Arabidopsis thaliana: one gene and its partner. The protein of the gene in region 1 interacts with the protein of each later gene in a pairwise test. Each region holds a gene or a part of one and is shown on either strand. Other genes may lie near its edges. The genes, in order: ARF12 and IAA30.

Evidence for each region.
Region 2: the proteins of ARF12 (region 1) and IAA30 interact in a two-hybrid assay, tested with the Arabidopsis thaliana proteins (one large-scale study listed by BioGRID).

What each region holds. Positions count from the first base shown.
Region 1 is NC_003070.9:12,508,028-12,513,556, reverse strand, and holds ARF12 (auxin response factor 12), read left to right. Parts: upstream 1-2,036; coding exon 2,037-2,085; intron 2,086-2,160; coding exon 2,161-2,279; intron 2,280-2,385; coding exon 2,386-2,481; intron 2,482-2,579; coding exon 2,580-2,636; intron 2,637-2,731; coding exon 2,732-2,875; intron 2,876-2,954; coding exon 2,955-3,039; intron 3,040-3,130; coding exon 3,131-3,221; intron 3,222-3,300; coding exon 3,301-3,465; intron 3,466-3,571; coding exon 3,572-3,685; intron 3,686-3,774; coding exon 3,775-3,847; intron 3,848-3,939; coding exon 3,940-4,078; intron 4,079-4,182; coding exon 4,183-4,595; intron 4,596-4,682; coding exon 4,683-4,870; intron 4,871-4,960; coding exon 4,961-5,009; downstream 5,010-5,529. UniProt on the Arabidopsis thaliana protein: Auxin response factors (ARFs) are transcriptional factors that bind specifically to the DNA sequence 5'-TGTCTC-3' found in the auxin-responsive promoter elements (AuxREs). Could act as transcriptional activator or repressor.
Region 2 is NC_003074.8:22,993,552-22,997,392, reverse strand, and holds IAA30 (indole-3-acetic acid inducible 30), read right to left. Parts: upstream 1,708-3,841; 5' UTR 1,559-1,707; coding exon 1,192-1,558; intron 1,062-1,191; coding exon 965-1,061; coding exon of another isoform or gene 961-964; exon of another isoform or gene 855-960; coding exon 800-854; 3' UTR 584-799; downstream 1-583. Other genes in the region: AT3G62110 (Pectin lyase-like superfamily protein), read left to right, coding at 1-80. UniProt on the Arabidopsis thaliana protein: Aux/IAA proteins are short-lived transcriptional factors that function as repressors of early auxin response genes at low auxin concentrations.

The DNA of each region.
Region 1 (5,529 bases):
GATTGAAACAAACAACATGATTGAATAAGAAATCTTATAAGAAATTAAGAAGAGAATAGAGTTTCGAAATATCTTCTCTAAAGGGAGTTTCTAAAAGGTTTTGCTCCTAAGAATAAAAGAGAAAAGAAGATTAGCCTCTCCAAGCTTAGGTCTAAACACCTTAAAATCTATATATAAATTCCTAAAATCGTGCAGGGACTTCTTTAAAATAAAAGAAACTTCTGGAGCGAATCTGCAAATCTTCAAAACTTCAAAGAGCGAAATCAAATTGCCATCAAATATCGGTGTCGAGCGTCACCATGAGTGGTGTGTTACTACTAGAACTTTTGAAGGTTAAAATTTTACTTAACTAAGTTTTTGTCCTTATAAAATTAATAGAATAGAAGACTAACATCTACATCAGTTTTTGATAAATAAAAAAAGGACATTTCAGACAATTATCCAAAGTTCTAATCACGACACTAGAGAACTCTATTCAGATAATCATAATCAATTATGAACACTCATTTATAAATAATATGGACCTGTTAAAAAAAAAAGTTGATAATAATTTTAGTGAGCAAGGATCAAATCCACCACCTTCTATCTGTAAGGGTAAGGGTAACTACCACTAGACTACAAAACTATTTTACAAATTTGATGCACACTAAAATAAATGTAGGATTTGCTGTCTAAAGCATGAACTTGCTGGATTTTAGGTATGAGCTAGTCCTGAGTGGCGTCATCTAATTTTGCCTAACCATGATTATTTTCCTTCAACTTCTAATATCGTCAAAAATAGTTTCATCCTCTTTCATACAAGCAAGGATTCTTCAATAAAGATTTTCAATCAAATATGTGTTATATGTCCTGACATTGTCTCTCTCCTCAATTGCAAGAGTCCCACACATATAATTGATTCAATGTTGCTTTGCCTAGGATAACATACAATAAAGAGTAAAATCATGAAATGAAGAGCGAGATAAATGAAAATTGAAGAGTTTTCATCTGAATTTTAAGAACAAAATAAAAGCTACAAATTTAAAACATAGAGCAAAATGATTGGATGACGTTCGGGTTGAGAGGCATCGAAAAGCTTTTCTACACTCTTGATGGAACCCATCATAAGCCATACCCCTTTGTAAGGCCAAACCACCACCACCAGTAATTAACCCCTGTTTCAAGGGCATTCAAATTAGGCATGAGATACATGCAAATTCACATCGTAACTAAATGAAAAAGGAAACATGGCCTTGGAGAATTCTCCAAAGAGCAACAATATATGAGAAAACGGGTTCATAAAAGATCTATAAGAAAACTTAAAGGGAAGACAAAAATAAATAAAAACTAACATGAGATGTATTATAGATCCCATATGAAATGTCTGATCACGACGCTAAAGAATTTCTATTCATGCAATCAGAATCAAGCAAAAACTTATATTTAAAATTTATATGGCTACTCTTAAACAAATTTCATAGAAAAATATATTTTGTTGTAAGTACTAAAATTTTCCTAAATTACTCAACTTATATATGAATAATGCATATGTTGAAAAGAAAAAGCAAACATGAGACGTACTATAGATCACATATGAAAGGCATCAACACGACACCAAAGAATTCCTACTCATGTAATCATGATCAAGTAAGAACTCCTAGTTAAATTTATATGGCTATCTATAAACAAATTTCAAAGATTTGTTTTTTTTTTTACTATGAGTATTAAAACTGTATTATATTACTCAACTTATATATGAATAATGCATATGTTGATTTTGGTAAGTTAATCAATAAATATATAAAAAAATTGATTTTATTATATGTAGTCAAAATATTAATGAAATTTCTCTAAATTACCTTTATTATTTTTTGGTAACCTTATTAAATTTAGTATTCAAATCTAAGGAAGTATTTTATTGTGTTTTGATACTTCTTACCTATAAATGTGATATTCTGCGCTCTCATGGTCGCAAGAGAAGTTGAGGAAAGAGAGAAAGTTGTATAATAATTGTTGAGATAACATATTTTGGTATACCGATCTTTAGATACGAGCTTATGGAAAGTGGCAACGTTGTGAATGCACAACCTGAATTATCAGGCATAAGTAAGAAATTTTAACTTTTTATTTTATTTTATTGAAAACTTGTTTTGGTTATAATTTTTAGTTTTTTTCCGGTAGTTGATGGATCCAAGAGCTATGTTTACGAGCAGTTATGGAAACTCTGTGCGGGACCTTTGTGTGATATTCCAAAACTTGGAGAAAAGGTTTATTACTTTCCTCAAGGTCACATAGAGCTTGTGAGTTCTCTCTCTCTCTCTCTCCCTCTCTTTTCTTTCTCTCTCCATCTCTTCTCTCTCTCTCTTCTCTCTCTCTCTGTATGAAACCTTTTAACGGGGTTTTCAGGTTGAGACATCTACAAGAGAAGAGTTGAATGAGTTACAACCAATTTGTGATCTTCCTTCTAAGCTTCAATGTCGTGTTATTGCTATTCATCTTAAGGTATATCTCTATTATGTTTTAGCGAATACGCATGATATGTATATTTAATTTCATTGTAAAAAGACGTAATTGGGTAATTGTTTGATGTTTGATTTTAGGTGGAAAACAATAGTGATGAGACTTATGCTGAGATCACTTTGATGCCAGATACAACTGTAAGTGAAAATTTAGTATTTCTCTTTTATTATTAGTTAATTCTATTTTCCTCCTATTATAATACACTGATTTTCTGATTTTGTTAAATGTTTAGCAAGTTGTAATCCCTACTCAGAATGAAAATCAATTTAGACCATTAGTTAATTCCTTTACGAAGGTTTTAACGGCCTCAGATACAAGCGCTCATGGTGGATTCTTTGTACCGAAAAAACATGCCATTGAATGTCTCCCTTCGCTGGTATTTAATGTTATAGTTTTTTAAAATAAATTTAAACTTTAATCTTTCATTAGACATTACATATTAAATTTTGGTTTAGGATATGTCTCAACCTTTACCTGCACAAGAACTTCTTGCTATAGATCTCCATGGTAATCAATGGAGATTCAACCACAACTATAGAGGTAATGATTCCTTTTATTCATATAATTCAAACACAACAATTGAGGTAATAAATCCTAGATAAATAACTAATAATCTTCTTATTCCATGCAGGTACACCGCAAAGACATTTGTTAACAACTGGTTGGAATGCATTCACAACATCAAAAAAATTGGTTGCAGGGGATGTCATCGTATTCGTTAGGTATATTATTGGGTTTTTTTATATATGGATTTTTTGGTTCTTGAGTTTTGGACTTTAAACTATTTACTTGTGGTTTCAGGGGAGAGACTGGAGAGTTACGAGTTGGTATCAGACGAGCAAGACATCAACAAGGGAATATACCTTCATCAATAGTATCAATAGATTGTATGAGACATGGGGTAGTTGCTTCCGCAAAGCATGCTTTTGATAACCAATGTATGTTCACTGTGGTTTACAAGCCAAGGTAATTCAAAGAACCATTTGAACTCACATTTTAGATTATATTGATTTATCAATAGATTAGTTCCTTCAACATGTAGGTTTATATTTTGTGTCTTTATAAGTATCAGGTCAAGTAAATTTATTGTCAGTTACGACAAATTCTTGGACGCTGTGAACAATAAGTTCAATGTCGGTTCAAGATTTACAATGCGGTTAGAGGGTGATGATTTCTCTGAAAGAAGGTAACATTAGATGAAATTTTTTTTCTGCTTAAATATATTTATAATGTCTAATATTATCTATGATAACACATATTGTTCAATTGATTAAGATGTTTTGGGACAATTATTGGAGTTAGTGATTTCTCTCCTCATTGGAAATGTTCAGAGTGGCGCAGCTTAGAAGTAAAATTTCATTCACACTTTATAACATTATTTTAGGAATACGTTTTTGAGTGCAATAAATAACATATCACTAATTAACTTTAATTTTGCAGGTGCAGTGGGATGAATTTACATCATTTCCGGGACCTAAAAAAGTGTCACCCTGGGACATCGAACATTTAATGCCTGCAATAAATGTTCCGCGATCATTTTTGCTCAAGAACAAGCGTTTACGAGAAGTTAATGAAATCGGTATAAAAAAAGACTCTTATAATCTTTTATTTAAAGAATTAATCTTCTATTTAATGAATTTGGTATTCTTGAATACCTTCTCAATAATCCTATTTTATATACAGGTTCTTCATCATCACATCTCTTACCTCCTATATTGACACAAGGACAAGAAAATGAACAACTAAGTGTTGCCTCTCCGATGAATATTTCTCTTCGTTATCGTGATGCAACTGAAGATGCTATGAATCCTTCTAAATTGCTAATGAGCTACCCTGTCCAACCAATGCCCAAACTAAATTACAATAACCAAATGGTTACAGAAATGGAAGAAAATATAACAACCAAGACAGGCACTAATTTTAGGCTGTTTGGAGTCACTCTGGACACTCCTCCGGTGATCAAAGATCCCATTGAAGAAATTGGCTCGGAGATTTCGAAACTTACTGAAGGAAAAAAGTTTGGTCTAAGCCAAACTTTAAGATCACCAACAGAGATCCAAAACAAGCAGTTCAGTTCTAGTAGAACTTGTACCAAAGTAAGTATAAGATCAATATACTCTTATTATTTATATATATAACTTTTTCTCATTGTACTCAACTCACGCAATCTTGATATGGAACAGGTTCAAATGCAAGGTGTAACAATAGGAAGAGCTGTGGATTTAAGTGTTCTTAATGGATATGATCAGCTAATACTAGAATTGGAGAAGCTCTTTGATATCAAAGGTCAATTGCAAACTCGCAACCAATGGGAAATAGCTTTCACAGATAGTGACGAAGATAAGATGCTTGTTGGAGACGATCCATGGCCGTAAGTTTCCTTTCTATTTCTATCGATTGAAAGATTAGTTAACATCTTGAGAGACATTGATATTTTATTTTTTGTGTTGTTTGCATGTAGTGAATTCTGCAACATGGTGAAGAAGATATTCATTCAAAAGAGGAGGTAAAAAATTTGAAGTCCAGGAAGAGTCTCTCAAGTTGAATTAAGAATCAAAACATATGTAATAAAAAGGGGTCGAAAATGTTACTGGTGTCTTGTTCTATTTTTATTTTTCTCTTATTTGTTGTTGCATGCGTTTGTATTATGTACTTTTGTTTTCATCATCCATAAATAAAATAAAATCCCCTTGTTATCGTGATATTGAGCTTTCTTTCTAATTCATACAATCTACATTCTAAAAATTTGAGTGTAGTATTTATTTTATGATATTTTGAAAAGAAAATTGTATAAGACGAAGTATATAGTCATTCAATAAATTAAAAATTTTACTTTACCTATTATTGTACTTGCAAAACCGGATATTTTGGAGACATAAACCAAATGATACTATAAAATATGTTTATATTTTTAATAAATATTTTCTGAAATCTATCATTGCAATTATGTCAGCACTCACAACTAGTTAATATATAATGATGGAACTAGGAAGTTCAGCCAATTCATATTCAAATAAAACTACTAAGTCG
Region 2 (3,841 bases), on another chromosome or scaffold:
CTGATTGTTTCGGGTTATCGGAAAATAATATGGAGATATCAAGTGGTTTAAGTAGATCACCATGGTTACTTTCTTGGTAAGTTACTGTGAAGTTTTGAACATCAAAGGGGAAACACAGTTTGCTTGATTCTGAAGAAACCTCTTCGATTTTGAAAAATGATGCTTTCTTTCATCTTTTGTTGTTTTCGTGTAAATTTGTGTGCAGTGAGGAAAATAATCAGAGTGGCTTAAGAGTTTTTGTTTTTGTTTTCCTTGTATGGGCTTTAATGCTTTTGGTGAGCGGAACAATTGTAATATCTCCGACAGAGTCTGTTGAAATTTTTTGACAATTATTTTTCAATTTCAGATTCCATAACTAGAACAACTATATTTCACTGTTTATTCCGGTAAAATAGTTGAATTGAGAAGTAAATGATAGTATGAAAATATGAAATAGATCTTGATTTGGTTAAACTAGTAACTCAACTGAAACTTTGTGAAAACTAGAATACGAATATGAACCTAATTCAGCAGTGTTCCAAAACAATTCATATTTCTAGTATTATCTAATCTATGTCTAAAACCATAAAAATAACTACTAAACCAAAAAGGATCTGCATTAGCTACAGCTTTTTTTCTTGAAAAAAATAGCTTCATTACAAGTTACAACCGATTTTTTTATAAATGTAATAAAACTAGAAACAAAATTTGAATAAAATCTCGAACAAGTGATTTACATTCAGACAAAACTAACTTTTTCCCCCACCACCACTGACTGTATTGGTCAATCCTAGATTCTTCCAAGTTTGCTTTTAGAAAATCAGTAGTGATAAGCTCTTGAGATCTTTAGTCTTCTCACGCTAGACAAGAACATCCTACATAATCAATTAAGTCCCCATTAATTAAAGGGAATTTTTACATAATTATGTCAAAAAAAATACTTAACTAGAGATTTTTAATACACTAAAATTAAAAAAGAACTTACTCCCAAGGAACATCTCCAACCATCATCCAGTCACCTTCTTTGTCTGCGTACGTTAGCACGTGACTCTTCTCACTACACATATCTTCTTCTTCAGCCCCTATTTTCACAATTTTTTTATTGCCATTAGTTTTGGTCTTAACTATATACATGCAAAGAGAGGTATAACAAATATAAATATTAACTAAGTCTACATGCAAAGATGTAATTAAGTGTGTGTAGATACTTACAAAGGATTGAAGCATTGAACATGTAGTCGAGAGTTGTGATCAAATCATGATATCCATTAAGAGATAAAAGATCGATCTTTCTCCCAATAGGAACTCCTTCCATGTTCACTTTCACGTAGAAGCTTCCGACACTATTACACTCGTTTTGCTCTTCTTCTTCCATGATCATCATTTCCTCTGCCGCACCGACTCCATCATATTCATGGTTATCTCCACCGTTGTAATATTGTCCGGAAGATGATCCGAAGCTGAGCCCGAGTCTCAGGTCCGTGCTTAGGTTCCGAGTATTACTCGAAGACACACCAAATGGGTTGCTTTTGCAGCTGCTCTCTATCGATGAAGACGATGAGCTTCTCCCTCTTCCCATTTTTTTTTATTTCTTTTACTATTTCTCTCTCTCTATGATTTTATCTAAAACAGGTGATTAATGATTTGAACGTGTGTGTATTATATATAGAGAATGGAAATTTTTATTTAATTGTTAGAGCTTAAAAGGAAGAAGTAATAATATTGGAATGGTCTTTCTGATATGTTTTTTTTTTAATTAAAGAAAATGGTGGAATGATGAGACAGTGTTGTTAAAGATGTTGTCCATGTAGCAGACAAATACACGTGTCATGCAGACACTTGGTCAAAGTGTTGGTTTTGACTTTGTGCTCGGATTTTTTTGCTGGGTGTGTTCTAATTAAATTTTGTTTGTTTCAATGTAAATATACTCGACTCCTAGTACTACCTTTCGTTTAACAAAAAAAAAAAGAAAAAAGATTGTTTGATTTCTTATAAAATAATTAGGGTTGGATTTTAGAATTAACTGAATTATTTTGTTAAAACACTATAAATGAATAAGAAACTGTGACTGATTTAGTTTAAAAAGTTTAGGCTTAGATTTAAGGAATCATATGAACGTAGACAAGATAGTTCTAAACCGGATAAGAACATGTTTTCTTAAATAAATGTAGACCAATGTACAATACATAGTTTACTTCATTATCCGTCTTAGTAAAATCAAGTTCAATGCATGAGACTATCGTGACGCGCATTGATGCATTCGTGGGTTCGACAAACAACACTTCCATAATTAAGGTTTTTTTTATAACCGCGAGACACTTTAAGCAAAAAAAATGTTTTTGTTTTAGCATTAAAGTATGTCAAAATGTTTTTTAAATTGAATATCAACTGCTAAACACGTCTCATGTACGTCATTAACTCTCTAATAATGTTCTTTAATTATGACAAAAAATATTGAAAATAGTCTACGTGGACTCCATTGTATCTAAGCATGACAAGAGTTTGAGCTTTCCATGATTTTAATCCACGTCGCTGTTAGTAATTACACTCCTCTACTAATTTGATTGTTCCTTTTAATTTATCTTATCATGAAGCATCTATAGTCAAGTCCAACCACTACTATATTTTTCCAATACTAAACCAATTTACCAACCTTTTATGTGTAGCAATCAAAGTGAATCAAGTGGTGCTAATCTCCCACAAATCTTAATCAGAATTTCTGTATCTTTTCATGGCAGAGACCAAAACACATCATATTGGTGATCTTAGTCTTATCCGTCGTTAGTATTCAAAATAGTGACTTTAATAAATGCTTCTCTTTGGTTGGCACACCAAGATTCTATTTGTGTAATATTCATTGGATTTAGATAGAAACATGTATGTGGTATAGTCAATTCGGTTGATATATTAAACTTTGGTCACCAGAAAAAAGTGCATGCTTCTTGGTTTTGTACGTTACATGTAATAAATTAGAAGCGAAGAAACAAATAGAGGGGAATATAGAAAAAGAAAGAAAATGAGAGAAGGGAAGCATGAGTAATGAATGCGTAACCTTAAAGAGAGGAGCTAATGAGAGATGCTTCGCCTATGGACTAAGGACTGAGGATACGTCACAATTCTCACACTCCAAAACATACATATAGTTTTGCAAGCACGAGACAGTAAACACTATCGACAACATTTCACGTTCCCCACGTCACGTGCCTTTTTCCACGTGTCTCCTCACTTTGTCGCCTCCACTTCCACTCTTCTACAATCACTCCTTAAGCTTCTTCATGACCTACCAATCAATATGATTAGAACTCTTTGTTCTCTCTTTTATAATTGGAAGATTTTGTCCAAAGTTATTTTTACAATCAAATCATATTCCATTCCGTCTTTTAGTTTATATGTACAACGTAACTTGTTTCTTATTTTTAATTAATGGTTTTAGAACTTAAAGTTTTACGGATTACAAATAGTATTCTTAAGTATTAAAGTGTTTTTCATATTATATATAGTTTTTTAAAATAATTTGAAACGATCCTGAATCTCTTATCAAGTGTCTTTATCATTGAGCCAAAAACATATATAGTATACACATTCATACAAATCTTTTGAACCCGAAACATCCAAACAATGTCGTTATCACAATAACCGACATGTATTGCGTAGATATCGTTTGGTTTGAAGAAACAAATAGATACTATTAGAAAGAAGAAGAGAAAAAGATTTAGCTTGAACCAAAAGAAACTCCAAACATGATTTTTGAGAGAGAAAAAAAAAAAGGGAAACTGATAAAGAAGAGATATGTTCCCCACCACCCCTACCATTATCATCACAATTTCCTCACTTTTTTTTCTTTCTTCTTCAAACTTTTTTC